3 linked regions of the Drosophila melanogaster genome follow. Changing the gene in region 1 together with any one later gene gives a genetic interaction. Each region holds a gene or a part of one and is shown in the gene's direction. Other genes may lie near its edges. The genes, in order: Irc, Hayan and Cat.

Region 1 (10,255 bases):
GCAATTTAAGCAACATGTTTCTTGCAGGATGAAGGATTTGAGGCTGCCCTACTGGGAGCCGCTTATCGATCCGCCTACGCTCTGTACCTTCAAGAGGCAGGTGATGGGGTGACGCCTCTCTGTTACCGAGATTATATCCTAAGTCTGACAAGTAACAAACTGAGCCTTGTATGCGAACCACACAAGGACAGCGAGGAAATCTACGCTCCAATGCTACAACGATATCGCGAAATGGCGCGCGTCCTGTCCAATCCTAACACATAAACTCTCCGAAAGCCCAACGTAACATTCCAGTTTATACTCCGTACATTCACAAACTGATTCCTTCTTAAACGTCTCCTGTAATTGACAGAACTTAAGTGCAATTAACAAATTCTGTGATTGACGATTTATTACAAATTTATGCGAAACCATATACAAATAAATTTTTATATATGGCCCACTCCTTATTGTGTCTGGTATGCCTTTAATCTTTGATCCGCCTACTTTTTGCGTCCACCACGCTCCTTGACCTGTAAATGCACCGTGGTTCCGTTTACCAGATTGTAAAAAGCCATGGTATTGCTGTCTTTGAAGAACATTCCCTGAAGGATAGATGTTATTGAAATAATAGTTTTCGAAACATTAGTTGTATTTCTTACCTCATAAAATATCTTCTGCTTGGCCGGTGGCATGCCAGTTTCGTCCTGCAGCTTCGTCTTCAGATTGGCAATGGGTTCAGAAAGTGCCATGGTCACGGCTATCATCTGTCCATTAAGCTTCCACTCTGATTTGTCGGAATTGGGTACCAAAACCTGAATGGTCACAGGGCTCTGAAATAATTTAAGATGGGTTATATACCAATAGATAGCCAGATATCAAAATCAAACTTACCTTGTGGGTGGCAATAAAGTCTGCTTCTGGAATCAGGTTGTCCTCGCTTCGAATCTTTTTAGAAGGCGGCTCCTCCTCCATTATATCAACAGGTGGAGCAGGTGCAATTTGCTGAGGGATTCCACCAGGCTGCATGTTCATGTAGCCTCCACCACCAGCTCCAAAAGGCGGCTCTGCAAAATAAAAACGCTAAGCCCTCGACGAGATTTGCATACTATTTGTTACTTACGCATCATGGTTGGACGCAGTTGCATCAGCTGCATCACCGGTTGAGGCTGCTGCGGCGGGTGATGGTGGTGCGACTGGTGAGGTGGCGCCTGCTGATGCGGTGGATGGTGATGATGAGGATTATGATGCCCGTGGTGACCACCTCCGCCACCTTGGTGGTGTTGACTCTGGCTGGAGTGACTGTGCTGCGACTTGGTTGACGGCTGCGGCGGAGCTGAAAGCGTCGCCTTGTTGCCCACCGGTTTGGGGCCGATTTTCTCCTTCTCCTCGTCGGGCAGCAGTCCCTTAACCTTGTGGATTTGATGAATTTGTTCCTCCAGAGTGATATTTGCACGTGCTGCTCTCGTGGCCGCCTCCACGCTGGACGTGTGTCCGTCCCAGGTGACGCGATCGTCCTTCTTCGTCTCCTCTTCGCCGAGCTTCTTACCAATGACGGTCTCCTCGTCGCCCACACCAAAGATATCCGTACGACGCTCAGCCAGTTGCTTGAGACTCGCCTCGATGGCAGTGCCCGCGGCGAACACATTGTCTTGATTGATTTTCTCCACAGTATGCTTGTCTCGCTGTTCCACCCAGCGTGGATCCAATAGACCGATGCGCATGTGCTCCGAGACCTTGGAAGCCGGTATTTTCTCTCCTGTAATCGGCGAGATGAGATACTCATCCGTAGGCATTGGCGCCTGCTTCGGTTGCGTTGCCTTAGGATCGTATTTCTTGACCACCACTTTGTCGTGGGTGGGCGGCAGCATTGGCGCAACAGATGGCTGCAACTTAGTGGTTGGAGTGTCCTCATCACTAGAGGCTTCGTCCATGTCTTGCACCTGGGTGTTGTCTCTCTTGGGGCCAGTCGGCTGGCCATACGACGATACGTTCTTCATTTGTATACCCACACGGTTCTCCATTTGCGAGAGTTTCAGACCGCTGTCCAATAGGTTGTTAGCCTGGGAGTCGCCCTCGTCGTCCGACTCGATCTGCATTTCTGTATCGCCCTCTTCGTCCATTAGACGCTCTTCCATTAGCACACGGGCTCCTACCTCGTCGGGATTCGTGGGTGGCGGGAAGTTGCCCGATTCGAATGGCTGATAGTCCACCGTCTCCACCACCACAAAGTCATGCCAATCGATTTGGGCATAGGCCACGCGCTCCCTTTCGATCTTCTCCTCCTCACGGCGGCGTTGTGCTTCTTGGTGACGCTGCCAGTTGGCCCGATATTTAACCTGCTCCAGCACCTGGTTCATGCTGCTCCTGCCCGGTGCGCTCTCGGAACGCAGTTTGCCCAGCAAATCCTTTGGAGGTATCAAGACCTTGGTATACTGCTCCAGCAACTTGGTAAAGTACTGGAAGAGCGAGTGCTGGGGTCGCAGGAAGTCAAACTGAAAGTTACGCTGCTCCCGGCTCATAAGATTGGTCAGAAACTGTCGGCCGTTACGGGCCACAAATTGAGCAGTTAGCTTCACAATGTCCCTGAAAAGATATGCAAGACAATAAGACAGCGATTGGAACTTCCTGGCGAGTGGACACTTACAAATCCAGCGCCGAAATGGAGGGCGGATCGGCTATGAACTCGAATTCAGGTGGAGGTTCCTTTGGTACGAACTGCTGCTCCACCACTTGCTTGAGAAGCTCTTGCTGGCGCTGTTGGGCGGCACTGGTCACCGCCAGCTGCTTCATGCTGGCAAGGGCAGTGATACCGGCATCTGAAACGGTCTCATGTATTAAGAGGAAGTATTAATGGGAAGTGAACGAAAACATACCATTGCCCTCGCGGAACTCGTTGACCTTGTGTCTGTAGTATGCGTGGTAGGGATCTCCGCCATTTAAGAAGTTAAACTTTGGATTGCCCAGCTCATTTTGGCGGATGCGCGCCTCGAATTCCGGTCCATTGCGAGCCACAAAACTGGCGGTCTTGTCAACGATATCTAATAGTTAAAGCTTTGATAACTGAGTATGGGAAACGCTAAATGTGTATTAAATGAATGTATTTTGAGTAAAAAATGGCTAAATTGAGAAAAAAGTTTGTTTTCTTTTTGGCAAAGGATGCTTCTAACTTCCGGCGGCGGATAGATAATCCCAATGATTGGACCCGACATCGACTTGGGCTGATCATTGCCGAACTGCTCCTCGTTGGCTTCCGCGTCTAAAGTTGCCATGGCTGGTGAAATCGTCCTCTTTTATTGATAAAATCTGATTGCTTTTTGAGAAATGAGAAAACGCTTGTTTAGCCGAAAATTAGAGGTGGAAGGAATAGGGATGGAACAATCGTTGGACTGTTGCCACCGCCATCGATAGTTTTCTTACATTCATGTAGTAATGTTAGGGTGACTCAATAAACGAACTAGTTTCAAGCCGGAACTAGTGAACCACTGGCTCAGCCTATCGATTAATTTGGCGCTGGATTTAAACAATCTGTCGGACAAACCATCAACTCAGGCGTTAATAATGGCTTATAAAATCTTTACATATATATCAGTAGATGGACGGACAAAGGCGTGGGCAGAACTGAACCCCACGGATGAGGTCTTTATTTGCATATTATGTTAGTGTTGGTACGGCTTTGTACGGGTGGCTTGATTCACCAAGCCAAAACAAAAATAACATTTGTTTACGTTTGTACGACTTTATTCATTCGCTGAGAGAGTCTGCTGCCAGCACGATAGCCAGATGATGATGATGATGATTATCCAGATGATGAGGTTCCCTTGTGCGTGATAACGACCCGACTCATTCTCATTCTCATCGACTCGATTCTGTCGAGATTTGCCCCCAAGCTCAGTAGTCTACGAATCGCTGAGCCGTCGACACGGTTTAATTGGACTGAAAGCGCGGATTAGGTCCGATAGAGTCGCAGTTCGGATCACTTCCTTATCACAAGCTAGCGACGTGACTTAAATCCCATTGACGTGCGGGTATTTTGTGAATCACAACCGGTGGCTGAAAAATCCGAGTTCTAGAACAAAGACACTGCAATGGGTGGAATTCAGTACATCTGCCTGCTGGCTTTCATAATAGGAGCATCATTATTGACAACAATCGATGCTAATTGTGAGTCCGCTAGCAGTATTTAAATTAAACTCTGTGTTTATAGAGACATTTTGGTGTCAAGTATCTCATTCTCGTGCTAATTTCTTTTAAGAGAGCACAGTCTTCTTCGTGTAGAAAAGTAGACCAAATAGAGGGAAACCTATTAATTTTATAGCTTGTTATTCGGTTTATTATGATAATAAAAACTTTATTGAAGTATATAAATATTTAATTGATAAAGCAGAAAGACATTCGTAAAGCGGAGGCTGGTCGTCTCACAGCGATAAATTTCCACAATCACTACGCACTATTTAGCCTGTAATTAAGTACAAGTATTAAAAATATATACAGAAATGGGAAACTGTTTTATTGATCAATGTAAAATGTACTTTCCACTTTCTGCGAGTGCTCAAGCGTTATATCATCATGAATGACTGCATTGGTTTTTACCAGGTTTTCACATTTGTTTATTGTAATAAACATTACTAAATTGTTACATTCAAAAAACCCCATTTGCATATACTTGTTGATAAAGATTCCAATAAATTCCAAAAGCTCACCCCAAGGTTCGCATATATGAGGGCTTATCGCTGAATAAGAATTCCCAATCAACAATTGTTTACTGATCGGATCCAAATAGATTTCTATAAGCGTGAGAAATAATTGATGTTTATTTTTCGAGTAAGATGCAGAGATATTTCACTTGAATTAGCATACTGTATTCAGGTAAATATCTCTTTAATAGGGTATTCACACTTTCAATAACAATACGACTGCATAGAAACCATTCACAAAAGGCCATTTTTTATGATTGTATCGTTACCTTTGATATAGTACTTTTAAATTGTCTTGATTAATGTGTTGACAAGACAATTTGTGGAATATTCCAGAACAATTCAATTATACCGTAGATATAAATCATGTTTTCTTTAAATGAGTCAATTTACTTAAAACGGCGCCTAGAAATTGAGATTCCCAAGAGAAATGATGATAATGAAAATTATAAATTAAACTACCCATCTGAATAAACTTAAATTTAACCAATTCATTTGTATCATTTTATGAATCTTCAGCGAGCCGAGATGTTAATGCCGAATTAAACAGGATTCCTGCTTCGAAATGGTTGCAATATGTAGAAACGGCGTTGGACTCAGTAAATAGGCAAAAGCGGTTTGTACAACTGATTACTTTGAAAACCAGTTAACTTTAATGACTTACGCTGATATGTTTAGGATGTGACACTTTTCTGCTGAACTTGGTGCGCGACTTATATTTCCGTATTCGGGCTTAAATTTAAACATTATATTTTACATAATATTACTTAACCATTTTTTCAGACTGGAGGACAATCTATTAGGTTCCGATATCACTGTTAAGAACGGCAGCCTTTCACACGCTCAACTTCTGGATACTTTACCAAGCCTAGCTTCGAAGAAGGACAATAAGCTCGCCCTGAAGATCCTTAAGTCCAGCTTGCTCGTTTTCAACAGCGAATGCCTGCCTAATAATATCGATGGAGACAAGTGCCGCAGTTACCTGGAGCAAAAACCACTTCCGGAGGGCAGTAGCTTGCGAACTGAGTGTGAGAACTCACTCAAGGGAAATCGAGAGGGTCACTATGCTTTCAGAAGGCTACTTGGGAGCAGCCACTACAGGAACGGTTTCTATCAGGTGCGATCCGCTCAGAAAAACAGGATGTAGAAGATGAATTAAATGGTTTATATGGTATTTTTAGATGTTTCCCAATTCCGGAAGACGCGAAACAGTGCCGGCTGCGTGGTCCATTAGTAAGGAGCTGTATGAGCCCGATCACATTCAGATCTCCAAACAACAAACCTTCGAAAGCAATTCCAATTTGGCCCTCCCTCAGTGGGCTCAATTTGTGGAGCATGATCTTAGCAAGCCGGTGTCGCAATCAATGAGTGAGTTTCATATGATGACCTCTTCCTTTTGTACTTAACATACTTAAAACCAAAGTATATCAATTTATATATTTATATTGTTAAAATTGTTTCAATTAACGATTTCTCCGTTCCCAGGCAATGGAGCCCCAATAGAGTGCTGCAGCCGTGACCAGATCAACCTTCAGCCGCGTCACCACCACCCGGCATGTGCTCCGATTCTGTACCAGCCCGGTGGGAAATACGACGTGCCCAGCTGCCTTAACTATGTGCGAAGTGCTCTGGCCGTGGCTGATTGCAATTTCGGTGGCGCCGAACAAGTAAGAAGAATTCAATTGTGAAAAACCATGTAAAAATATCACTGATTGCTTACTTCTATTATATGTATGTAGCTCAACCAGGCCACGGGGTCCTTGGATCTATCGCAACTCTATGGTTTCACCGCAGCGGCGGAGAGAAAGTTGCGTGTTCTCGAGGGCGGTTTGTTAAGGTCAACTCCTCGTGGAGAATTCGACAACGCCCTCCTGCCCATCGCCACCGATACGGAAGGACCATCGTTCTGCGCCAGGGCAACAATTGGTGATGGCACCTGCTTTGCTGCCGGAGATTCGCGGGTGAATAGCAGTCCGTTCTCCATACTGATCTACACGATCTTCATGCGCAATCACAACAAAGTGGCTGCCGAGCTGAAGCAAAGGAATCCCCGGTGGAGCGATGAAAAGCTCTTCCAAGCTGCCAAGGCAGTCAATGTGGATATATATCGTCGAGTGGTCATTGAGGAGTGGCTGCCAGAGGTGCTCGGCCAGAAGATGTCCAGTGAGATTAGGAGAAAACAGCCTAATCGTGCTTTGGAGGTCTCCAATGAGTTTGCGGTGGCTGCCATTCGATTTTACTTCTCTATGCTGCCCAATGAGCTCCTAAATCTGACCAAGGATAACGTAGTCTACGGTACTGAGAAGTGAGTGTCACAATCTGATGAAGAATAAATTAAGAAATTCATTTCCATATAAATTACTAATACGACAAGTTGGCCAGAATCTTTAAACTTTTAATAACATTTAACTTTCTTACAGAAACAACCAATATGTGTTTATTAGCAAGGAGCTACCAACTAAAAACCTTTTTGAGCTCAAGGAAGAAATCTACAAACCAAAGTTGCAGTACACTTCCCAAAAGTTGAATAACATCCTTGAGAGTTTGCTCAATCAGGAGACCATGAAGATGGACGCTGCCTACTCCGGTGGTGTAAGCCAAATGATTTTGATATTTTATAGCTTCTGAAATTCATTTTTTAACTAACAGGTCGTCTGGCACAAGGACACCAAGCCAACCCATGCCGATATTTTGGCCTTCGATATCCAAAGGGGGAGAGATCACGGTCTGCTGCCATATTATCGGTACTTGGAATCGTGTGTGTTGTCCAGACCCGTAGAAAGCTGGAAAGATTTTGAGCATTTCATTCCCAGTGATGTAGGTCTTTTATTTATTTATTATTTATATTTTAATTTTTTTTTAATATAATTTTAAAATATTCATTCAACAAGGTCTTGGATAAGCTGAAAACAATATACGCCAGTTGGGCTGATGTGGACCTCATTGTGGGTGGTATTTCGGAGAATCCTGTTCATGGATCCATTGGCCCCACCTTCAGTTGCATTATCTGTATGAGTTATACTGCTAGCAAATGTATATATATCACTCAATTACTTTTCTTATAGCTGAGCAATTCGTACATGTTCTGAAACAAAACCAGCAAAAAGCTGTCCAAAAACACACTGAACTGGTGGAGCAATATCGCCACTTCAATGGAACCAAACTCCTTTGCCTGAATTCCGGCCTTTCAGCTGTTCCCCAGAATATCTTCCAGTTGCCATCGGCCAGGTTAGTATTGGAAAAAAAATCATAATAGATCACCTGTCACTCGCTTGAGTCACAGTCCGTACACAATTTGATTCACATTTGATATTATACTGAGTACTGGAGTGATAAGCTCAGCAACCAAAATTATCTACAACCTTAATGATTGTTTTTTCTTTCGCGTTTCCTTACAGAAATCAAATGGTCTCTTGTGAAGACGTCTAGAGGTTGACAAAACAACGCTGCTCACATTTAAGATTGTTTCCAAACCAAAAAAAAATATATATAAGAGTCAAAACTCATTAAATACCTCAATCTTGATTCTTATTATCTTATTGCTATATTGGTTGTTAACTATACGTTTTGTCTAAGGGAACATCGAATTACAGGTAGAATTACATGACATAGACATGAATTTACAGATCAATTGTGTCTGGTTGACACTTTTGATAACTCTCAATTCAGAAGCGGATCGTTAAAGTCACGCAATATTACTATACTCAAAGTTGTTGCAGAAAGTGTTGCGGACAGTGCGGTACGTGTATTTCCATTTTCAACAATTCCCATTTTCAACTGTAATGAGGGTCGCTTTTTTCTGTTATTACGTGAAGTAGTAGTCATTAAAAGGCAAGAATGTCACAATTTGCTCCAATAAAAGTTATTGGCCAATAAACGAATAAAATAGTTACCCCAGACCCTAAGCATGATTGTTTTAAAGCTCTTTATTTATGATGAAGGACTTTCTTAAGTTAGGAATGATTCATAGGCAACATACAAAATACATGATATGATAATACGAGTAGAATAAGATATAAAGTAAGTTGTATGTAGATTTAATTGATCGAAATTATGCGCGCACGTCATGACATAAGTAATTTTCATTTCCGTTTTTTGAAAAATAGTCATCAAGACGTTTTTAATGATTTCTGTAAAGATTAAAACAACCATAGAGATGCATTTTTGCGATATAAAACTTATACTTAAGTTTTATTCAAGAACACTTTCACTTTTTCGCCAATCAATAATAAGCTATTTAAGTAATGTGTTAATGGAACTTAAAGAAATTCCTAGTAATTACTATCTTTAATTGAAAGTAAGATTTGTTGTTGGTAACAGGGTCAACTGCTGACCATTTCATACGATCCCACAGTGGGCCGATATCAAAATCAAGGCCCAAGGGTAGCAGACTCTCTCATAAGGAATGGTATTCGTATTTGTATTTGTTGCTCTGCTTCCAGATAAGATTGAAAAAGTGCCTATGAGCACCAAGAGATAAGGCACACTTTTGCTTTTGCGATAACGCACCATCGCAATTTCAGGCAATCAATTAATGAGCCAGCTGATATCGCCGATTCCCATTCCCTTTGGGCCAGCCAACGTCAGTTAGTTGGAGTTGGAATTCGATTCACAGCGGGTCGAGAGTTGTAGATCGGGTCGAGAAAAAAGAGCAAATAAATAAATAAAGAGCACAGTGGGCAGCACACAAGGTAACCAATCCATCGGTTCTTCTAAGCCCGTAAATCAACATACCAACGATATGTCTCAGACATCTGTATCTTAGGATCTGATGTCATGCCAGTGAAAGCAATAAATAAATCTCGAAACACGGCGGTAAATAATTGACCCACAATCACGGCCTAAAAATACGCGATTAACTCTTATATTCGAGTCCTTATGTAATAAGCTGCCATTAACGATTGCTTCATGAGCGAAGAATTTCCTGGCTTGTGATAACTGCAAAACAGAAATAAAGTAACGCCAGCAAACTGAAAAAGCAAAGCAATCGCAAACACAGTGCCAATTGCGTTTATCTAATCGGACAGGTAGCTACCACACAGGTGAAATAGGTACTCTCCTATGTACATATGTACACCTATGTACTTCTAAATGCAAAGGTATCTAATGGTAGCCATCTATCTGATTCGCATTGCCCATTGGGAATCAATAGTTTACCAGAACGCTTTGATTACACACCGCCGCAATGGTCAAAGCAGGCAATAGGACCCTGAAATACTTCCGACCCATTTCGGTCAAGTATGGGTAAATATCAAATATCAAGCGTGATAGACAGGAGGCTATCTCATAGATTGAAGCATTGCCAACACCTGTCTATCATATACCCGTATACTTAAAGTGCCACTTTGGAAATTTTCGGTGTTTTACTGTTTATGTTAGCATAACATTCAAACAAAGAGATCTTTTCGTCCTTGATCTGCATTTATAGTGTAAAAGATGCAGAACAAGATAGAAAATTCTTTACTATTGAACTATTAAAGTTTAACCTATTTTCCTTGTATTAAAAAGTGTAAGAGCAACTATTACTCATCGTCAATTACCTCTATGTCATGCATTAGTTGCAATGTAGTGTTATCAAC
Region 2 (10,003 bases), on another chromosome or scaffold:
TGATATACAAATTCAAAGGGAGGAGACTGTGTCATTACAGTTTGGACTATGCAGCATAAGAAACTCATTGCTAATTCCGCTGAAAAACGATCTCCTCTTATATTTATTTATGTTTAATTATTCATAAAAGCATTGCTCGGGTTTTCCGATTATTTCGGATCGGTTGTGGCTCTGGATTCAAGAATCTTTCAGAGATGAAAACCGGTTGGAGAGCAATCTATTGCCGCCTAGTGTGTAGATTGGACTAGTCACAGATTGGGATTCAGTTGCACTGGAGATGCTTTACTGAGCGGTCAGAACCGTCGTCCCAGCCTGACCGTTTCAATCCGCCGCGTCTGTGACCATATCGGTCAGATTCTCTCCGCCATAGCCACCGGTTTTAAAGCTCCATTGAGTTTACGTCGTGTGCAGTTTTGTTTTTGCTGGTTTCCTCGTGTTTTGCTTGATTTATTGTATTGTATTCCTTGTGTTTTTGTGCTGTGCTTCCGATTGCCATACTCGGAGTGATCGGTGCACTCGAAGAACATCGAAACAGCGACGTATTCCCTTATCAAAGTCTGGCAAAAGGTTGTGTCGAAGGTGGGTTCCGTGGAAGGTTCGTGCCATGAGCATAAGTCGTACAATCATACATGTGATTAGCTTATAATTACTGCAAGCTAGTTCAGCACTCACAATCAATAAGCGTAAGCGGCTCTATCCAAACTAAACAGCATTCTGTCCTTATCAGAAACAAATCCCCAACTCAGATAGTTTAGGAGGTTTTCGATATCAGCTATAAATACCCCTCGTACTGAGTGACAGAACGAAGATTACAGTCGCCAAAAAAAAAAGGTGAATCAACCGATCCAACCTTTCCATGTTATGTTTTCCGTTGGATGGTGAAATACTGCCTTGAAGAAAAAAATAATCTTGAGTTTTCCTCACCCACTTGGCCCTCCAATGCCAGGAGTGACTGTAGTTCATGTCTAGCATCTGTACTCAATAAGTTGGTCAATGGCTGCTGGTTTATTGTAATCAGAAAATCATGGCGAAGCTCATTCATTTACATTCTCCATTAATTGCAGCGAATTAAGATGCCATTGAAGTGGTCCCTGCTACTCGGCACTTTTGTGCTCATCAGCTGCTCCTCCGTGGAAGCAGCCGTCACAGGTGAGTTCCGATCTCAGCCAGGTCACATCAAGTATTTGCCCGACTCGAATCTTGCGTTTGTTTCAGTGGGTCGGGCCTGCAAGGTGACGGATACCATGCCCGGTATCTGCAGAACATCCTCCGATTGTGAGCCCCTAATCGATGGCTACATCAAGTCGGGAGTCCTGACGCTCAACGATGTGCCCAGCTGTGGCCTCGGCGCTTGGGGTGAGATCTTCTGCTGTCCCACCAAGCCGTGCTGTGACAATAGGTAATCCGCGAATTGCTTCCATTGGGATCACATAGAAATGGGTTGTTTGCCTTTGCAGTACCATAACAAGCGTTTCCACAAGCTCCACCACAAGCACAAAAGCTCCAATGACCAGTGGTCGTGTCGATGTGCCCACGTTCGGAAGCGGTGATCGCCCAGCAGTGGCAGGTGCTTACTCTTTTGATCAGATCACTCCTAGAGTTCCTCTACTTATTTCCAATCCCACGATATAGCCTGCAAGAAGATTCGCGAGCGAAAACAGCAGAGGAGCGGCAATCAATTGGTCATACACATCGTGGGCGGTTATCCGGTTGATCCGGGTGTATATCCCCATATGGCGGCCATTGGTTACATCACTTTTGGCACCGATTTCCGATGCGGCGGATCGCTAATCGCCAGTCGCTTCGTCCTGACCGCCGCACATTGTGTCAACACCGATGCCAATACGCCGGCCTTTGTTCGCTTGGGAGCTGTGAACATTGAAAATCCAGACCATTCCTACCAGGATATCGTCATAGTGAGTCACTGTGCTTATGCATTAAGTTATAGCCATTCTGATCGATACCATATCTCAGCGAAGCGTTAAGATCCATCCGCAGTATGTGGGCAATAAGTACAACGATATCGCCATTTTGGAACTGGAACGTGATGTCGTCGAGACGGATAACATCCGGCCCGCTTGTCTCCATACGGATGCCACCGATCCGCCATCGAACTCCAAGTTCTTTGTCGCCGGTTGGGGCGTCCTAAATGTAACCAGTGGGTAGCACAAAAAGTTCCATATCCTCCACTTCCACTAATGGCTAACCATCCGCAGCTCGGGCGCGATCTAAGATCCTGTTGCGCGCTGGTCTGGAGCTGGTGCCTCTGGACCAATGCAATATATCCTATGCGGAGCAGCCCGGTTCCATAAGGTTGCTCAAGCAGGGCGTGATCGATTCGTTGCTGTGCGCCATTGATCAAAAGCTCATCGCCGACGCATGCAAGGGCGACTCCGGTGGGCCGCTCATTCATGAGCTCAACGTGGAGGACGGCATGTACACCATCATGGGCGTCATCTCGTCGGGATTCGGATGCGCCACCGTCACACCGGGACTCTATACGCGTGTCTCGTCCTATCTGGACTTTATCGAGGGCATTGTCTGGCCGGACAATCGGGTGTAAAGTTGGGAAAAGTAAAGTTTTTGTTTTTTTTGTATGTATATTATTTCTATTTGGGATCAGGACTGCCTGATCCATCGCAATTGGCAAACACTCATCTGTGATCTCTATGAGCACCGCGATCGAACCATTTAATACCAATAAAGTAGATACGTTTTAAGATATAATCAATCGGTACAATATTATTTCTGGCAGTTCGGTTTCCAGAACTCTGTGAAGTGATTTTTCTGGTTCTGTTTAATTTTAGAGGGATTTCTGGGTCACCACTTTTATTGAATTGCTGCACTGTATAAAAAAAATGGGGAAATACAAACAGAATGCATTTATTTCAGAAAGATTTGTCATAAGAAATTTAAATTTTAAGCATATGTTTCAGACTATAAGTTGAAAAGGACTTCTTGGGTCACCACCTAGGTCGCAACCTAGGCAAGAAAGTAAGTATCTGGGTCACCACTTTAATTAGAGAAGAATTATACAAAAAAAAAAAAAACAAGATTACTGCAATTGAAACTATATATATGGTAAGTTCTAAAACACGATTCTGTGACACAATTATACTCGACTTTTAAAGGTGTAAATATCGGGGTCACCAAGCGCAGCATAGACCTTACGCGGTATCCTTTAGTCCATACCGCTCGCCTGTTGCTTACCCACTCGCTAATTACAGGCTGCCTTTGTGCTTTGTGTGCTCTGGCTTCTGATCGCTTCGGATCGTTCTGCGATTCTGCGAAGTGGTGGAATGGGAAACCGGTTCGCCGCTCAGCGGGAGAGGATCGGCTCTGGGTGCTATCAGCTGCTGGGTCCGGCGCTTCTTGGTCGACGTCTAAATGGGCCTCATCGGTTCCAGCTCCAGCTCCAGCTGGGGCTCAGAAGCTTGGCTTCAGTTGCTTGGGCGATGCGTTGCTGAGCGGTCAGAGCCGGGAAAATAGCCAGCAGATTCCATACCGCCGCGATTTGTGATAGCCACCGGTTTTTAGCTTTATTGACTCTGCTGGTGTGCTTTTTGCGGTGTTTTTTTCTTTATTTTTTATTTTTTTTTTTCGTAATTCCCTTGGATTTTGTTTTGTTTATGTGGTATTGAATTAAATTGTATTGTATTGTGCGGTGCCCGATTGCCATAGTCACCACAGTGCTCGACGCACTCAATAAACGACATCGATACGTAGACGTACTACTCCCTTATCAGAGACCGAAAAAAGGTCGTGTCAAAGGTGCGTTCGATAAGGCGGACGTCGGTGTACAGTGAACAGTGGACAATGGACATTGGGATTGCGGGATGTGGGGATGTGGGGCTATGTATTGCATGTTCTACTTTTGATTTCGTCGTGTTTACAATGGGCAATTACTGCGGAAGGCCGGAAGCTGATTAGCAATCGCATACCTATTTAATACAATTTCATTTGGGCCGATAACAGGTGATGTCATGACACTTTTGCATTGCTTCAATCGGATATATATGATTCAGTTGAACTGCAGACACATTGACGACTCTCTGCTCAATTGAGCAGCATAATTGTCAGGTGTTACTTTCGTATCGGTTATTACCGACGTAGCTGCGATATCAGTTGGCAGTACACGTCTTTAGCCGGTGGTAAAATCCCAGCGGCATGCCTCCCATGAATCATCTGATCTCACCTGGCGGCGCTGCTGGTGAAATGCTCGTCGTAATCGGCAAACACAAACTTTCCATCAACACAAAGTCTCTCAAATGAAATCAATCAAGTCTGGCTTACTACAATCGAGCAGTTCATATGGAGAATGCTTTTGTGGTGTTCCCATATTAAAAAAAAAAAAAAATCGTAAATGGGTCAATGGCAGTGGATGTGGATCGGTTTAATCAGCTGAAAGTCGAGTCGATTGAAAGAAACAGATCTCGTTTGTTTTTCCCTTACCATTTCGACGAGGGCTTCCCCTGTTGTGAAAATGATGTTTTCCATTTTCGGTTTTGATAAGGCTGATAAGCGTTACCAAGTAGAATGGGATTCACTAATGCTTTTGGGAATTTCAGCTGACCGATGGCGATGATCTCGGCGAGAAGGTACTTCCTTCTGGGTCTCCTGGTGCTGACAACTTCTGCGTATGTAACAGTTGGGGATGGTATGTAGGATGTCTTGCGGCGCGTACACTAGATCCTTGCCAGCTGGCCGCATTTCTCGTTGCAGAGGGCGATCCCTGCCAGGTGAGGTCGGACATACCGGGAATCTGCCTCTCCTCCTCAGCCTGCGAGAACATCAGAGGATATTTGAAGTCGGGCACGCTGTCCACCAGCCAGGTGCCGAGTTGTGGTTTTGGCGCCCGCGAGGAGATCATCTGCTGCCCCACCGTCGCCTGCTGTGCCACTGAGTAAGCGTGTCCTTGTCTCCTTGGCCTCTGCGCTCTATTGTCCTGTTTTTTGTCCTCCTGTTTGTGCACCATATATATGTGTTTGTGTGTGTCCCGCTTGTGCTGTGTGCCCACCGATGTTGCATGCCCCGGTTACCGGCGTCCAACGCCAGACTAACACCTCTCACTCCCACAGTCGAGGTCGTGAGGTCCAATTCCATGCTACGAGCTCCGAGCGCAGCAGTTTACCCGAACCCAAGCGGGAACCAACACCAGAACCGGAGCCACTGCCTCCAACGACCACCGAGGGGAAAAGGGAGCGGGAAAGTCGGCTGGACGAGAATCAGAACTTCTTTGACTTCAACAAGCTGCTAAGCACCACAGTAAAGCCGCAGAAAACCCACGAGTCCTTGAAGTTGCCCACACAGGAGTCGATGAAGACGCCCACTCACGAGTCCATGAAGATGCCCACTCACGAGTCAATGAAGTTGCCCACACACGAACCCATGAAGTTGCCCATCCAAAGCGTTGGAGCTTGGGGCATAGCTCCTTCGAAGACTCAACCCATTGCAAGCACCCAGAGATCTTTTATGGAACCGGAGTGGGGCCGTGAGCCACGGATTGTGAACCGTCCACTGACCACGCCTCGATCACGACCCCAAAGACCGAATAATTCCAATTTCAATACCAATCCAAGCCCCAATAATAACAACCTCATACATTTGGTCAACGATCGGCTGCGGGAGCAGGGAATGCAGATTGAGCCTGCTCGAGAAGTGCCCATGGTGTTGCAAACCACGCCCACGCCCACACCCGCACCCACGCCCACGCAATTGATCGATCCCTTTGAACCCTACCGATTTCGGGGCCAGGACAGAGACAAGGATACCCAGCCCCAGGAACCCTGGAACGATGTCAGCAATAATCTAGACGCGGATCCAGCTCCCAGCATCTTCAATCCAGCCGAGACGCGGTTTGTCTGAGCATTCTTTTGGCATGGACATCAGTTGGCCTCAGCCAGGGAGCCGCATGCAGTCTCTGTCTCAGGTGGAAACCATCGTGAGCCCAATTTTAATCGCTGATATACCTTGTCTTTCGCAGGCCAACGACGCCCAATCCCAATCCCTCCCGCGTCAATCTTCCCGAGAAGGAGCGACCGTCGGTGGCAGGTGAGTTGCGCATTCTTTGGAATATTTTATATGAAAATATCTTTGGAGATATATTATATACAATATATATTAAATTTCCTATCATCTGATGATAGCGTGTGAGAAGATCCGATCCGGTGGAAAGCCCCTGACGGTGCACATTCTGGACGGCGAACGGGTGGATAGGGGCGTCTATCCCCACATGGCGGCCATTGCGTACAACTCCTTCGGGAGCGCAGCGTTCCGATGTGGTGGATCGCTCATCGCCAGTCGATTCGTCCTCACAGCGGCTCACTGCGTCAATAGTGACGATAGCACACCCAGTTTCGTCCGTCTGGGTGCGTTGAACATCGAAAATCCCGAGCCGGGCTACCAGGACATCAATGTGGTTGGTATCGCCATGTGACACATGGTGCGAGATAACCAGTTGAACTCACTCACTTCCATTGGCAGATTGATGTTCAAATTCATCCGGACTATTCCGGCAGTAGTAAGTACTACGATATCGCCATTCTGCAGCTGGCCGAGGATGCCAAGGAGTCCGATGTCATCCGTCCCGCCTGTCTCTACACGGATCGCAGTGATCCGCCAGCGAACTACAAATATTTCGTCGCCGGTTGGGGTGTAATGAATGTGACCAGTAAGTTGTGTGTGCGTAAACTGCAGGATTGGATTGTGTTCGATGGTGTCTTTACAGATCGTGCCGTATCAAAGATCCTGCTGCGGGCGGCTCTGGATCTGGTGCCGGCCGACGAGTGCAATGCATCCTTTGCGGAACAGCCGAGTGCCAACCGGACGTTGAGAAGGGGCGTGATTGCCTCGCAGCTGTGCGCGGCGGACAAGAATCAGCGAAAGGACGCCTGTCAGGGCGATTCCGGTGGACCTCTCATCCTGGAGATTGACGACGTCGACGGCACCTACTCGATCGTAGGCGTAATCTCCTCGGGCTTCGGCTGCGCCACCAAGACCCCGGGCCTCTACACACGCGTCTCCTCCTTTCTCGACTATATCGAGGGTATCGTGTGGCCGTCGAATCGTTTCTGAGGCGTCATTTGATCTGCAATAAATTTAGTTTGAACGGATCGGATGGTGTTTCCCATCAAAAGTGTTTGATAAAGGTATTTTGTCTTTAGACAAAGTTCGACACAATTCAGTGAGTGTCATTAAAGAAGCCATAAGGGTTGTTCATTCAGTTCCTCAAAATGTTAGAATCGATTTTATTTTATATAATAGTGTAGTATAATAGTGTAGTATAATAGTGTAGTATAATAGTGTAATAGAAATTCAAACATCTGAGGCAACTAAGAGGTATCATAAGTGCCAAGCACTTTACCCACTGACGTTTTGCAGCAGCCCTGGTTTCGGGACAGCTGTCAAACTATCGCTGTCTGCGCCTCACCCGCTCGTACGTAAACAGAACTGAGAGCGCAAAAGCTCGCTGCGCGCGGCATTGCCAGGTGTGGCATTCGAAAGTTGCGACAAAAGCTGCTTACTGAGCTTTTGCAGTCAGCTGTTCGCCGCCGTTACAAAGTGCTGCCGGCTTACTGCGGCCAAACAGCCAGCCAAACACCACCCACCACCCACCACCCACCGACCCACTGGCCCCGTCCGCTCGCAGCAAACCAGCCCCCGCTCTCCCCACAAGGCCGCACTCCTGCGGGCAGCAAAAGTGGGAGCTGCTTAAATGGCGCTGCCAGGACTCCTCGGGCTTCAGTTGGTCGCGAGACTGCGAAGCTGTCGGTTTGCCTGCTCAGCGGTGAAGGTGCATTCCTAACGCACATAAAGTCTCGAATCCGTTGGAATTTGAACACGATTACCGTTAGGCGTTTGAAGTGTACCGAATCGAACTAAACTAAACTGAACTAACACAAGTCCCGAGTTCGCGTCGTGTTTGTTTATTTACTTTTATTTTTGTTACATTTTTTTTTTGAGTGACCACCGCCCGAATTCATGAGTCCGTCGGCCTGACCTGACCCCAAAAAGTTGAAACTTCCACCAAACAGTTGCAATCGTAAATGTAAGTCGATCTTTGTGTGCTTGTGCTTATCTGATGGACAGTGACTGTGTTTATCGTACGCCCAGTCCACCCACCATATGTATAGCCACTATCTATTTGGGTGGCATGTACTAACACGGTGGGAAATTGATTCCGGCGGCACATCTGTTTCCACATCGTGCCCGGCGATAACGTTTCCTGATCCGTTCGAACACAGCCCGGACTCGGGCGTAGGCGCACGCGGACCACACAACAGGTGCCAAGGCACCGGGACTAATGATTCCGTACTCCGTATTCCGTGCTCCGTATTCCGTATTCCGATTCCTGACACCCCGCCCCCGCGCATCCAGCAAATCGGCTAAGTCTGGCTAAGCCAACTTGACAAATGAGCCATGTCCTGGCATTCTCGCCGGGATTTCGGAATTACCTTTAGCATTCCCGGGAAATGGGCGCAAATCGCTTAGCGAGGTGAAATACCATAAAACAGTGCTACTCAGAATCGAGAAACTATTAGAATTTCAAAAAGAAAGCTTATACTAGTTCAAAATAGTTTTTTTTTAGAATAATAAAACTGTGACATTTTAATATCTCGATTAAATTTAAAACTATCTATCACTTGAAATATTTATTATACTATAATAACTAGCATTATTACTATAGTTAATATTATTATTATTATTTATTATGACTATAATTACTTAACTCATGTGAAATATAAAATCTCCTGATGTTTCATTAACAATCTATCTCAAACGGATGGAATGAAATCTTCTTATATTTCATTTGAAACAATGCAGCTGAAAATGCCAAACTGCAAACAACATAAAGTTTAAAGAGTGAAGAGTTGGCTTTTAAAAAGACAATTTATTTGTATCCTATAATGAAATTAGATGCATATTAAATGAATATTCCATTGCTTTTAACCCAATGAGTAATGTGACCGAGAGATGAAATTTAGCCTGTTCTAATAAATATGGAATAATTTAATGCGCCTTTATGCCCCATTAACTATTAAAGCGAATTTATCATTATGCTTGTATTACAATCATTATTATTGATTGTTTAAAATTATGCATGTTATGGCATAAGCCAAAATGATTGATCGCCTGGTATTTAATTTAATTTAATTCAATTTTTGCGAGTGACACACTCCGCCACTCATAATTAACAATTATGCCTTTTTGAAGCCAAACCAGCCCATCAAAATGTTATTTAAGAACTTGAGAATTTATGCGCAGAACCCTAGAATAAATTGGATTCGCCCGTGGGAATTTCGCACTTGACCATCCATCCATTCATCCATCCCAGGAAAATGCTTCACGCCGAATCGGTCAGCGAATATTCAAGTGGAATTTTAAATTCCTCATCTGTCATTGCATCCTCATCATCCTAACGTCCTGGACTCCTGTTGTCCGGTGGGTGAAACTTTGTTCTTGTTGGCCGTCGCTCTTTGTGCGGTGTTGGCGGTTAGCCGAGTGGCTATAAATGTGACACTAAGTTAATAAATTTATGGCTAAAACACACCCAACTGCTCTTGATGGCTGATGTGCGCGCTGCTGCTAATTTCCCTTCGCCATCGCCTTCGCCCCATTTCCCCATTTCCCAGGCCATTTCCATTTCCATCAGCCTGAATGATGGGGCAACAACAACGATGTGACGATACGGCCACACGGAGAGAAATAAATGATGGCTCATTTGGCCGAATGCCGAATGGCCAAACTGACCGGGTACATCGGTAATGCGTTCAAAGGCTTCACTTTGATAAGTGGTGATATCAGAATGGAATAGTTATAATAAATAAGCTCGTTAGCAGCCACCAATGACGTTTTCCTCCGTGCAAACCCGTGTGCTATGTGTCTTGTTATCGTTGGCGTATTAATAATATTTTTATTGGCCGCTTATTTGCCTTTCCGACTCTTTGTGTGGGTGTGTGCGTGTGTGTGTGTGTGTGTGTGTGTATTGTGACCAAATACATTC
Region 3 (11,609 bases), on another chromosome or scaffold:
TTTCACTTGTATGCTTTACGATGTTGTTGTTGTTGTCGTTGTTGTTTTATTCAAGAAATTGTTGAATAACGGTTTCTGTTAGCCGCTATGCTTTCGTGTTTGTTGTTGTTGTTGTCTTGAATTTCACTTTGCTTTCGCGTTTCACGCATTGCTGCTGCTTCTTCTTCTACGTCGCCGTCGTGTTGCTCCTTTTCGTATTTTACATTTTTTTTAGCCGTGGGAAACCTGTCCAGCAGCCTTAAAGCCGCTGTTTTTGTTGCTTTTCGTTTTTTGGCTAAACATTTTCATTGCTAAAAGAGCACTTGGGACTTTTATTTTCATAATTCATTTATCGCGCTGTAGTTGTGCGTATATTTATAAAGATAAAAGCAAGCAAACAGCGCAGCAAAATTCCAAATAAATAAAATTATTGTTGCTCAACGTTCATTGCCACACACACTCACACACGGCCAGACACTCACCAACACCAGCAGACAACGAGTCAGACACACACACATGCATACACTTTTTTTGGGGCAGCGTTTTTTGTTGTTTCAAGGCAACTTTATTTCTTGACTCTTTTTTTTGTATTTTCCTCCCCCGCAGGGAAACAAAGAAAATTTCACTTGTCTCGCACACTCACACCACGAAGCGCGCACACAGACACGGTGCCTTTCCCAAAGGAAATATTATTTAAAACATTTATTGACACAATTACAAGGTTTTTGCTTCTTTCGCTCGACGTTGTTATTGTTGTTGCTGTGGTTGTTGCCGCTTGCTTGCTTTTTTCTTGCTGTTGTTGTTGGCCTACTTTGTGTGTTGTTGCTGTATTTTTTCTCTCCTCTTTTTTTTGTTGCTCCAACTTCTCTCCTTTGCTTTGCTTGAAAAAATTTCACACGCGCCGTTTCTTTTTTTGTCTCTTCTCTTTACGTAAATTAGATTGCCATTTGAAGTTATCTTTCGAGGGATTGCACTTGGTATTAAGCTATATTATACATATACGTGTTGCACTACATTATATTTATAAAAATTATGTGTATTCGTTTGAAATTTTAATTGTGTTTTTATAAAAAGAAAATCAGACGAGACGAACGTATGAACAATGAATGACAAAAAATAACCTGGGTTTAATGGGCTAACATTTCGCGTCCAACAGCACGCTGAGTGCTGTTCGGCGAGCAGCTGATTTTGCAGTTTTCGGTATTTTCAGTATTAGTTGGTATAATTACAGTTTGATTTGAATGTGGTTTTAGGGTTTTAAAAAATGTGTTTTTAAACTCATTTTAATTGATACAACCAACAGAAGAAATACAGTCAATTTTCAAACTAACTGATATAACATAAGTATTTCATGAACATCGAACACGCCAATAATTAGATTATTGTCAATTTTAAACGAATAGTTTCTTCATATTAATTACTTAACTGGCATTACAATAAGCCACATTTAAATTGTGAGAAACTGTGACCATGTCAGTATGTTTTTAGATTTTATAACATTTAAAAAAATTGAATTTGTTTATTAGTTAAATGCATTTTATTTTACGCCTAATTTTGGTATATTTCAGCAATCCATATGTGGTCACACTATATGTTTCCAAAGTGGCGGGACAATTGGCTTCATGTTTCGTTTTGTTGCGTTTGGAAGTTAAAATGCCAGTGTAAGCATTGTTTTGTAAGCCCGAGTTGTGGAGAACTAGGTGCATGATCTATTCCAGATGGCCTCCATTGACGAGGGCTCGCGCGTTGAGCGGAGATTCTGCGCAGTCGGCAACCACACGCTGCGGAAGCCGTATCGCCAACTGAACAACAAATATTTGGTGCGCTTCGCCTGTTTGCTGAACAGCGAAATTCGGGCGGGCAACCTCATCTGCTGCAAGTGCTACACGGACCTGGTGCGACTCTACCGGAAGAAGAACGACAATGCCAAACGGCACAAGATGGCCAGGGAGACTGCCGCGAGCATTACGGACGTCAGCGGCAGTCAGTCATCGTCGCACCAAAGTGCGCCCTCTTTGCATGTCTCTGGCCAAAGTTCCGAATTCGGTGCCTCATACAGTGAGGGGGGCATTGTGACTCCCGATGAAGAGCTGTGCTCCCACAGAAGCTTAAGTCAAGATTCAGACAATGTGCCCACTACCAGCGCTGCAGCGATCCAAAAACGCCAGCTTGCGAGGGCAAACCTAATGGTGAAACCATCGCAGAGGCTGAGCTTGGCCCAGACTACTCCGGATTGCGACGACTACGACCCCAACTCGAATCTCAGTTTGAACGCCGTGAATGGCACGCGACTGCCGCACATTCAGCCGATTCCAAAGAGGCGCCCGACCGTCCTGGACAAGCAGTCCATGGATATTTACTTGATGGGAACCACAGGTGGTTAGGTGATTTTTTTAAGTTGTGACTAGAGAACAAGATACATATGCTAGTTGATGCTAGTTTCTAAGTTTCATTTAATTAGATATTTTTGTACGCTAAAATAAAGAAAGACAGAGATGTTAGCTTGGCAGGAGCCACAGAAAGATAGCCGCCATTTGGAGATTTCCTTGAAGTTTATAATTTTAACATGTTTAATGATATTTACATATATTATATGAATGAAGTACATTTATTTTAAAGGCACCACTGGAAGAGGTTCACAACTTAAGAAAAAAAGAGGCCATAGATATTTATTTGGCAGGAGCACCAATAGATAGCCGACTTAGTTTATAACTTAATGATGCCGACATTTTCATGAAATTAAAAAAATAAATAACTTAACAAACAGTTTAAATTTATTCACCTTTCTGGGCAGCAAATGGAGCGAAGGTACTATAAATTATCAATAATAAATCTTAATGGTGTTGGGACACGTTTTTAAATGGACAGTGCAAAAAAAAAACTTTGAAAATGAATTTCATACTATTTAAATACAAATATGAATAATAATGGATATTATGTAATATTTAAGCGATATATTTCCAACTATAATCGAAATATCGATATCTTCGGCCCACTCGACAACCCTGAGCAACAACAAGTACGTGGTGCTGGGCTATAAAAACAAATGGAACTGCGCTGCAGTTGCTTTAGTTGACAGAATTCTCGACGCAGTCACAGCAAAAAACCGAAGGCGGCTAGAAATCAACAACTTTCCAGTTCGAGTGTTTCTAAATTCTGGTTATCCCGTTGAGCAAATATCCTAAATTTTAAGCAAAATGGCTGGACGCGATGCGGCTTCCAATCAGTTGATTGACTACAAAAACTCCCAAACGGTGAGTGTGTTGGTGTGCGAGCGCGAGAGAGCGCAACTGCATGTGTGTGCGTGTGTGTGCCGGCAGGAAAATAAGAAAACAAGAAAGGCAAAAAAGACAAAAAGAGAAGGGAGAAGCATTGTACGAAATGAAATAAACAAAAAACAAGACAATTTCAGTAACGATTGCTATGAGCCTGTACTTTCCATTAATTCCATTAATTATTAAAATGCGAAAAACAACAAAGGCTTGTCCAACAAATGCCAGTAATGATGAAGTCGTTTCCCCAGAGTTCGAAGTTCAAAAGCCGCCTCTCTGGGTCTTCTATTTATTTGTAGAAATCTTATCAGAAGTGAACTGATAAACCTTATCAGTGTGGCAATTCTTATTGGATTTGTGTTTTCTGTACCTAATCCAAAGTTAATTTTATTTTCCCTTTTATTTTTATTTTCCTTCTTAAGGAAATCCAAAGTTTAGTCTAGCTAACCTATTTTCTAACCTTGGGCGACCTCTTACCTTAGTCTATTTTCATTTTTCAGCGCTGTTTTCACTTAGCACTTCCAATTTCATTTGGCACTTGCATTGTGCATTGGATTTGAGTATTCGAATTTGTTCGTTTGCACTTTTGTGTTAATTATTCGCTTTCGCTTTTGGTTTAGATTAAATGCATGATTTCAATTGTGGAATCGTGCCCTCTTAAAATTTTGAACAAATATTGTTTGTTCACACTCGGAAAATTGTACTTTCCTAAATTCGTGGCATTCCACAATTGCAACATTTTATACACTGCAATCATTTTTGAAATCAAATATGCTGTTACATTTTATAAAAAGGAATGAAATATAACAAAATCAATAGTAAGCCTCACCCATAGATACTGTATCTATATATAATTTACTCGGCAATTTCCCTGTGGTTTTCCCAATGCCCTCTAAAAATCGATAAATGAAATAATAATTCTGCATAGCTATTTGTCAGCCAGTTGATAGGCATCCAAAACAGCTAAGTAATTGGCCCAAATAGATTAGATGTATCAGCCGTATAGATATTGTTGAGTGCCCACATTTGGTTAGTAACTAAAGTAAATTTCCATTGGATTTCGATACTTTGTAAGTATGAATTGTCAGTTCTCAAAGAATACAATCATTTTTTGTTTTTTAATTTAGTATACCTTTTTTTTACCCTATTCAATTAAGGCTAAATCTAGAACTTAGTTCTCGCATCAGCGATTTAAGTGCATTTGTGCATTGAGTCACGAAGCCAATTACTCCACTAACTAAAAGCAATCAGCGGTCATTATTTTATATAAACAAATATAGATATGAACTTTTTGAGAAACGCGATCGCTGGATTGCACCGCTTGTAAGTTGGAAAATTCGTTGGGAGTCAATGGACTCTGCGGCGACCGGCTCAATGTTGCACAAACTGGTTGCAATGCGCATCGACTGCGAGTGATTCGAGTGACAACGAACCCGGCTTTAAACCCGTTTTGGGTTGAGTGCGGAAGGCTAGACCGCTTCGGAAAATGCGTGTGCCAGTGCCATAAGTCAACGCAAATTTTCTTTCTCCAATTTGGTTATGCAACCTGGCTGGAACGCCCGGCTAAAAGCGACTGTATGTGAGAATATGTTTCGAACTGACCCAGAAAAGAGAGCTAGCTCCACAGTTGGTTGGTTGGTTCGTGTTGTTTTAGTCGATTTTGACCTTCTATGACGAAACTGTGAAAACTGCATTCTGTCAGGCAATTAAATGTTTGCCTTTGTTTCGGTGAATAATCATGGCAACTGGGTTCTTTGTTCTTTTGGGAATCTCGCAATCGAGTTAATTTGTTATCCAAGAAATTCGAAAATGCAAGGAAAATACTTGGAATATTTTGCAACGCAATGCATATTGCGTAAGGTCATTGTGAGTCGGTTAAGAACCCTATAAAAATCCTTATTTAAAATCCTTTAGCTTATTTTCTATGCATTCTCATTCTCGAATGAGTAACCTTCTGCTGATAAATTATGTCTAGAAGGCAAATTTATCTCATACTATCAGGTGCACTGATCTTATAAAGCCGCCTCATTAAGTTGCTGTTTGCCATCTTTGTGTCATTGGCATCGCCAACAAGTTGCAATTAAAAACTTTCCTGTAGACTGTGTTCTTTGCATTTCTATTCGAGATCGGTTGCGGTTCTCTTATCAGTTTGCTCTTCGCTGGAGATATCTACAACCAAATACATACATACATATATAAGAACGAAGGCTCTGATAGGAACCAGATTGACTTGTTGGACGTGGATCGCAGTTCCAGCGGTTCCACTCGCATTGTCATTCCCGGTTTGCTTCACTTATCGTATCTGCCCCCTGAAGTGGCCCCATATTAATGTCTCAAAGTGCAAAACATTCCGGCTGAATCGGCCGAATCTAAAGGGTGACTCCAGTATAAATTCCAGAATGATAATTTCGAAATTATATTCATTTCTTCGTTTTTATGTAGCGCTTTTTGTTTGTCAATAAGTGGGTATACTACTGGCCTGTCTAAGCTGATTTTATTATTAAATAGATACATATATACTTCTAGGAACTAAGATTTGATAAAGTCAACTACTAATTCCTTAAACAATTGTAAAAGTCTTAGTGCCCAACCGGGTAATCCCAACCCAAGTGCTATATGTATCTAAATGACTTTGTTGTGAAATATAAACAGTAGCTTAATTTATATGTTTGACACACCACCACCACCACCACCGGTGGCTTCACTTTGATAAACAACCTTCTGTATAAAATTCTATATGCATTGTTCTAGAAATGCTTTCGAATTAGAATTTCGCATGGCGTTGTTCAGGTTTCAAATACATTAGCTAAACAGTGCGCATTGGCCGGTGACAGTTTTGCAAATTGTTGGCTGAGTTAATTTTATAATGAGTGGCTGGCCTGCATGCGAAATAAACGATAAGGTGATTAAGGAGCGGTCTCGGATTACTCTAGGGAAATGAATTGAAAACAAGGAGTATGATTAGATCGACTGATAAATGACAGGACAGCTGGTGGGCTAATTGATATTTCAGATGGACAATACACTTTTATTAGCTTAATGGAATGAAATAATTAATTGATCGCCAGCTAATAAACTGTGTAACATCATTTTGATGTTTGAATACTTTCATTTAATTGGTTTTTTCCTTGCACACGGATTTGATATCTTGACATGTTAATGCAAAAAACCCATACATCATCACTATATTAAGGCCTCAAGCTCTTAAGAACACCTGGGATCTCTTATTTTAAATTTATATGCACTGCAAAATGACCCCCCGTGTAGAGATAACGCTCTGCAATCTTTATGTTAATGTTTTTTTCTTTTGGTGAAAATCGAATGATTAAATGAAAGTCCGCGGGCCAAAAATGAATTATCGCAATAGGCCCGATAAGATTGTAAGACACTTGAACCAATATATTGTTGCTGAATGTTGCATAGCATTTTAAAATTAAAATACATTTGATTAAACTTGACTTTCATTTGCTTTTGCAGGTTTCTCCTGGTGCCATTACCACCGGCAATGGAGCACCCATTGGAATCAAGGATGCCTCCCAGACGGTTGGTCCGCGAGGACCTATCCTGCTGCAGGATGTGAACTTCCTGGATGAGATGTCGCACTTCGACAGGGAGCGGATTCCAGAGCGTGTCGTGCACGCCAAGGGAGCTGGTGCTTTTGGTTACTTTGAGGTGACCCATGACATCACCCAGTATTGTGCCGCCAAGATTTTCGACAAGGTCAAGAAGCGCACTCCACTGGCCGTGCGATTCTCCACCGTGGGTGGTGAGAGCGGATCTGCGGACACCGCCCGCGATCCTCGAGGATTTGCCGTCAAGTTCTACACTGAGGATGGCGTCTGGGATTTGGTTGGCAACAACACGCCGGTCTTCTTCATTCGCGACCCGATCCTATTCCCCAGCTTCATTCACACCCAGAAGCGCAACCCGCAGACGCATCTGAAGGATCCGGACATGTTCTGGGACTTCCTCACCCTGCGACCGGAGTCCGCTCACCAGGTGTGCATCCTGTTCAGCGATCGCGGCACCCCCGACGGTTACTGCCACATGAACGGCTATGGCTCGCACACCTTCAAATTGATCAACGCCAAGGGCGAGCCCATCTATGCCAAGTTCCACTTCAAGACGGACCAGGGCATCAAGAATCTGGACGTGAAGACCGCCGATCAGTTGGCTAGCACTGATCCGGATTACAGCATTCGCGATCTGTACAACAGGATCAAGACCTGCAAGTTCCCCAGTTGGACGATGTACATTCAGGTCATGACCTACGAGCAGGCCAAGAAGTTCAAGTACAACCCCTTCGATGTCACCAAGGTCTGGTCGCAGAAGGAGTACCCTCTGATTCCTGTGGGCAAAATGGTGCTGGATCGCAATCCCAAGAACTACTTTGCTGAGGTTCGTTTTTTTTTTTTGTTTCAAATAGATTCTTCTTCATTTGAGATTAATGCAATCAAAAGAAAGATAACTAATATGGTAATTTTCTGACCCTCAGGTGGAGCAGATCGCCTTCAGTCCCGCTCACCTGGTGCCCGGCGTTGAGCCCTCTCCGGACAAGATGCTGCATGGTCGTCTGTTCTCCTACTCGGACACCCATCGCCATCGCCTGGGACCGAACTACTTGCAGATCCCGGTGAACTGCCCGTACAAGGTGAAGATTGAGAACTTCCAGCGGGATGGAGCCATGAATGTGACGGACAACCAGGATGGTGCCCCCAACTACTTCCCCAACTCGTTCAACGGTCCCCAGGAATGCCCCAGGGCCAGGGCCTTGTCCTCCTGCTGTCCGGTGACTGGAGATGTCTACCGCTACAGCAGCGGCGACACCGAGGACAACTTCGGCCAGGTCACCGACTTCTGGGTGCATGTGCTCGACAAGTGCGCCAAGAAGCGTCTGGTGCAGAACATTGCCGGCCATTTGAGCAACGCCAGCCAGTTCTTGCAGGAGCGGGCCGTCAAGAACTTCACCCAGGTGCACGCCGATTTCGGTCGCATGCTGACCGAGGAACTCAACCTGGCCAAGTCCTCGAAGTTCTAAGCTGAGCGAGCGGATTCGACGGATCAGACTTGGTTTTTGGCCTTAATTACGATTAATCCAATGGAACTAATTATTCCAACACCAACACCACCACCACCAACACCACCCATTCCGAAATTGACTAAGAAAGGCGAACGCTTTTCGGATCTTTGGTTGCGGGCTTAAATTGATTTAACCACGAAATGTGTCTTGTCTTGTTTTGATATTCAAAATTGTTTAAGTCATAAACAAATTACACTTACAATGTATATGTATATGCAATGAATATATAATAAATTCTTTATTTTTTGATATAACTGTTTGGAGATTCTTTAATTTTTTGGGTCACTTATAGTCGAGCTCTTAATTCCCATTTAAATATTTCTTCGGTACCCTGAGAAATTACTACTTCGAATGATTGAACTTAATCTTAATCAAATTTGTTCCTATGAAATATACATCAATTTAATACTTTTTGTAATGATATTTTTATTACCATTATCTCCTATGAGTAAAATGTTTTATTTCTCCGTAATTTTGTAAAAATATGTATTTTATTTGATGAATTGAAATTTCAGCTACAAGTGTCCAGTAGATGTAAAACTGTGCCAGTGAGTCTTAAACCTTTTCAGTGAATCGCGCATCCCTAGCAGGGCGAGTTATCGATTAATTCGAGTTATCGTTATACGAAATGCATGGCGCGCTTTGAACATCAAACAAAATAAGTTATTGAAATAAACAAACGTATAGTATTATTGTCGTTTGAGCTTTTTATTATTTAATATTTTTTACAAACTATATAAAACATAAATCATCTGAAAATGTACACAGTATCATTTAAGCTTAGCCTACCGCTATTTGTGTGTTCATTTTGGTTCGCAATGAAGTATTGAGTGAGTTGTTCATTTAAAAATTTTTACAAGTTGAAAAACATGTATGAATATGTAAGTTCTCTCAGTCTAGTTATTTAAAATATTAGCAGGCCAGGGCTGCCATTGAACAAACTGTTCTAACTTTTCCAAATCTTTTCCATTTTTATGCTAAATGCAACAATTAAGTAACATTAATTTGTATTTAAATATTTAGCTGAGTGCGTAGACCAGGTGTTCAATTCCTGATTAACAGTATATTGCGATACGTTTTTTTTTTAACACATTTTTCTAAACAGTAGGTAATGCTTTTGTATCAAAACTTTTCGCAACTCTGAAATGCAAGTATACATAGTTAAATATTTTTCACATTTTTCGCTGTCAGCAAAGGCACTTTTCGTTTAAAATTCCCTAAATTTTCCTCAACTTTATCGCTGTGACGGGTATGTTAGTTATTTACACTAATTACTAACTATCTAGTGCGTCTTGTTTCCCAGTGCTGCCGCGGCATAAATCTGAGCCCATTCGGGGAACGAGTTAAGGTTCGGATAGACGACCAGGCCCCAGGTTTGGCAGAAAACAAACAGGGTGATGATGGTAATGATGGTCGGACCGATTCCAGCAATGGCCATGTCCTTCGTCCTAATGTTGGCATAGCCAGCAACCAAAGCGTTGGGCGGAGTACTAACCGGCAGGTGGAAGGCCATACTGCAGGCCAAGCCAGCGGGCAGGATCAGGTACAGAGGATGGATCTCAATGGCCAGGGACTGAAACAGAAATAAACTCATTTAGTACACAACGTTTCATACAAAATGCATTGCTTTAAACTCACCATCTCGGCCAGAACGGGAATAATAATGTTGGCAATCGCCACATTGGAGCTGAAGGCGGTCAGGAACACAGCCACCAGGATGACCACCAGTAAGAGGACAGAGTTGGGCAGAACCTTCAATCCAATCAGAGCATTGCCAATCAGCTTGGCCATGCCGCTCTGCTTGCTGCCTTCGGCCAAAGCGAAGCCACCGCCAAGCAGGAACACCAGACCCCATGGCACCTTGGTCTGGATGAACTTCCAGGTGATCAGCGATGGAGTGGGACCCGTGGGCACTGGACCACCGCGTCTGGTGCAGTAGCGTAGGAAAGCATAATTGGCGGGCAGCATGAAGCACATGACGACGACAAAAATAGTGGGCATAGAGTTACGAATGTCCCTGGAAAGAAGAGCATGTACTTAGGTTAAGTAAAAATATAACTCGCAAGATTAATTATGAGTAAGAGCTAAACTTTTTTGGTTTTCCCACATCTTAAACCATAAATGTTCAGAGAAATACTTGAAAAGTTCCTATAATTTATGTAATTGCTCATAATTCAATATGATTTATATTAACGTATTTCGAGTGTTCTAAACGAGAAATTAGCACGAATAAGATAAAAGGGACGGGTTTAACCAGGAAAACCAATAGAGTCGGGCTATTATTATAATAATATAAATATAATTATAATATTATATGTTATAAATATCAACTTACTTGGAATTCAGCAAATCGGCCCATCCCAAAAAGATGCCGGGCTTGCGGGTGAAGTACATCACAACCATAAAAATGAACAGAATCATCACTTGGATCTCGTGAATGGACATGGGACCCAGATCCTTGTAGCGCTGATCGATAACCTTTTTGGCGACATCGGCGCCCTCTCGTCCCCTCTGGACTTCCTGTGCCTCCTTGCTCTTGGGACGCCACAGACCCATGAAGTGCCATTGCAGGAACACGAATGTCAGCAAGGTGTAGACCAACATGGATGGCACCGAGTAGAACATGAAGGTGGGGAAGTCCATCTGTTCGGTGGAGTTCTTGAAACGAGCCTCGTAGATGCCCTTGAAGGTAAGATTGGTGGCAGTTCCGATGATGGTTCCACAGCCACCCAGCGAGGAGGCGTAGGCAATGCCCAGATAGTAGCACAGAGTGATCTTGGTGGGGTATGGTGGCCTACAAAAATATGAATTTATTAAACAAATAATCAAAGTAAAGGTGTATATAGTTTATACAAGTATTGTGTAAAGCTTGATGCCACCAATACCAATTGTTACTTACTCATCCTCGTTGTTTTTCTTGTTGCCTCCAACGATTTGGTATTGAGGCTCATGGTTGATTTTGCAGACACCCTGAGCCTGCAGCTCCTCCAGCACGGCTTGGATAATCGGACACATCATGGCAGTACAGGCGGCGTTCGAAATCCACATGCTCAAAAACATTGTAACCATGATGAGGCCAAAGTGTAATCTGTGGGAAAAGCAAAGAACTAATACTCAAATCGGCCTTATTTTCAAACCATTAGAATATATACCTGCGGGGACTGCAGCCCACGATCTGGATTACCCTCAAGGCAAGACGTTTGTGTAGATTACAGTACTCCACAGCCAGGGCGACCATAATGCCGCCCATGAACATCACCAGCGTATCCTTGAAGTAC

What was found.
Region 2: of Irc (region 1) and Hayan, changing one suppresses a phenotype caused by changing the other (phenotypic suppression), as found in Drosophila melanogaster (one study listed by BioGRID).
Region 3: of Irc (region 1) and Cat, changing one suppresses a phenotype caused by changing the other (phenotypic suppression), as found in Drosophila melanogaster (one study listed by BioGRID).

What each region holds. Positions count from the first base shown.
Region 1 is NT_033777.3:16,999,009-17,009,263, forward strand, and holds Irc (Immune-regulated catalase), read left to right. Parts: upstream 1-3,866; 5' UTR 3,867-4,067; coding exon 4,068-4,143; intron 4,144-5,195; coding exon 5,196-5,292; intron 5,293-5,459; coding exon 5,460-5,793; intron 5,794-5,857; coding exon 5,858-6,044; intron 6,045-6,161; coding exon 6,162-6,343; intron 6,344-6,415; coding exon 6,416-6,981; intron 6,982-7,096; coding exon 7,097-7,268; intron 7,269-7,325; coding exon 7,326-7,493; intron 7,494-7,567; coding exon 7,568-7,685; intron 7,686-7,741; coding exon 7,742-7,904; intron 7,905-8,074; coding exon 8,075-8,105; 3' UTR 8,106-8,200; downstream 8,201-10,255. Other genes in the region: CG3534 (uncharacterized protein), read left to right, coding at 28-264; Sf3a1 (splicing factor 3a subunit 1), read right to left, coding at 483-584, 642-812, 874-1,046, 1,103-2,565, 2,627-2,798, 2,856-3,020, 3,143-3,251; CG8907 (uncharacterized protein), read left to right, coding at 9,862-9,920.
Region 2 is NC_004354.4:18,477,209-18,487,211, reverse strand, and holds Hayan (hayan), read left to right. Parts: upstream 1-3,439; 5' UTR 3,440-3,771; intron 3,772-4,568; 5' UTR 4,569-4,575; coding exon 4,576-4,657; intron 4,658-4,722; coding exon 4,723-4,903; intron 4,904-5,078; coding exon 5,079-5,855; intron 5,856-5,983; coding exon 5,984-6,051; intron 6,052-6,079; exon of another isoform or gene 6,080-6,146; coding exon 6,147-6,418; exon of another isoform or gene 6,419-6,483; coding exon 6,484-6,670; exon of another isoform or gene 6,671-6,727; coding exon 6,728-7,074; 3' UTR 7,075-7,229; downstream 7,230-10,003. Other genes in the region: psh (persephone), read left to right, coding at 1,074-1,149, 1,216-1,399, 1,458-1,567, 1,633-1,916, 1,975-2,158, 2,217-2,563. UniProt on the Drosophila melanogaster protein: Serine protease which, by converting prophenoloxidase 1 (PPO1) into its active form, plays an essential role in the melanization immune response to physical or septic wounding.
Region 3 is NT_037436.4:18,819,610-18,831,218, forward strand, and holds Cat (catalase), read left to right. Parts: upstream 1-2,994; 5' UTR 2,995-3,176; coding exon 3,177-3,233; intron 3,234-6,728; coding exon 6,729-7,649; intron 7,650-7,746; coding exon 7,747-8,289; 3' UTR 8,290-8,579; downstream 8,580-11,609. Other genes in the region: HipHop (HP1-HOAP-interacting protein), read left to right, coding at 1,698-2,363; Indy (I'm not dead yet), read right to left, coding at 9,614-9,904, 9,970-10,348, 10,667-11,125, 11,231-11,419, 11,484-11,609. UniProt on the Drosophila melanogaster protein: Catalyzes the degradation of hydrogen peroxide (H(2)O(2)) generated by peroxisomal oxidases to water and oxygen, thereby protecting cells from the toxic effects of hydrogen peroxide.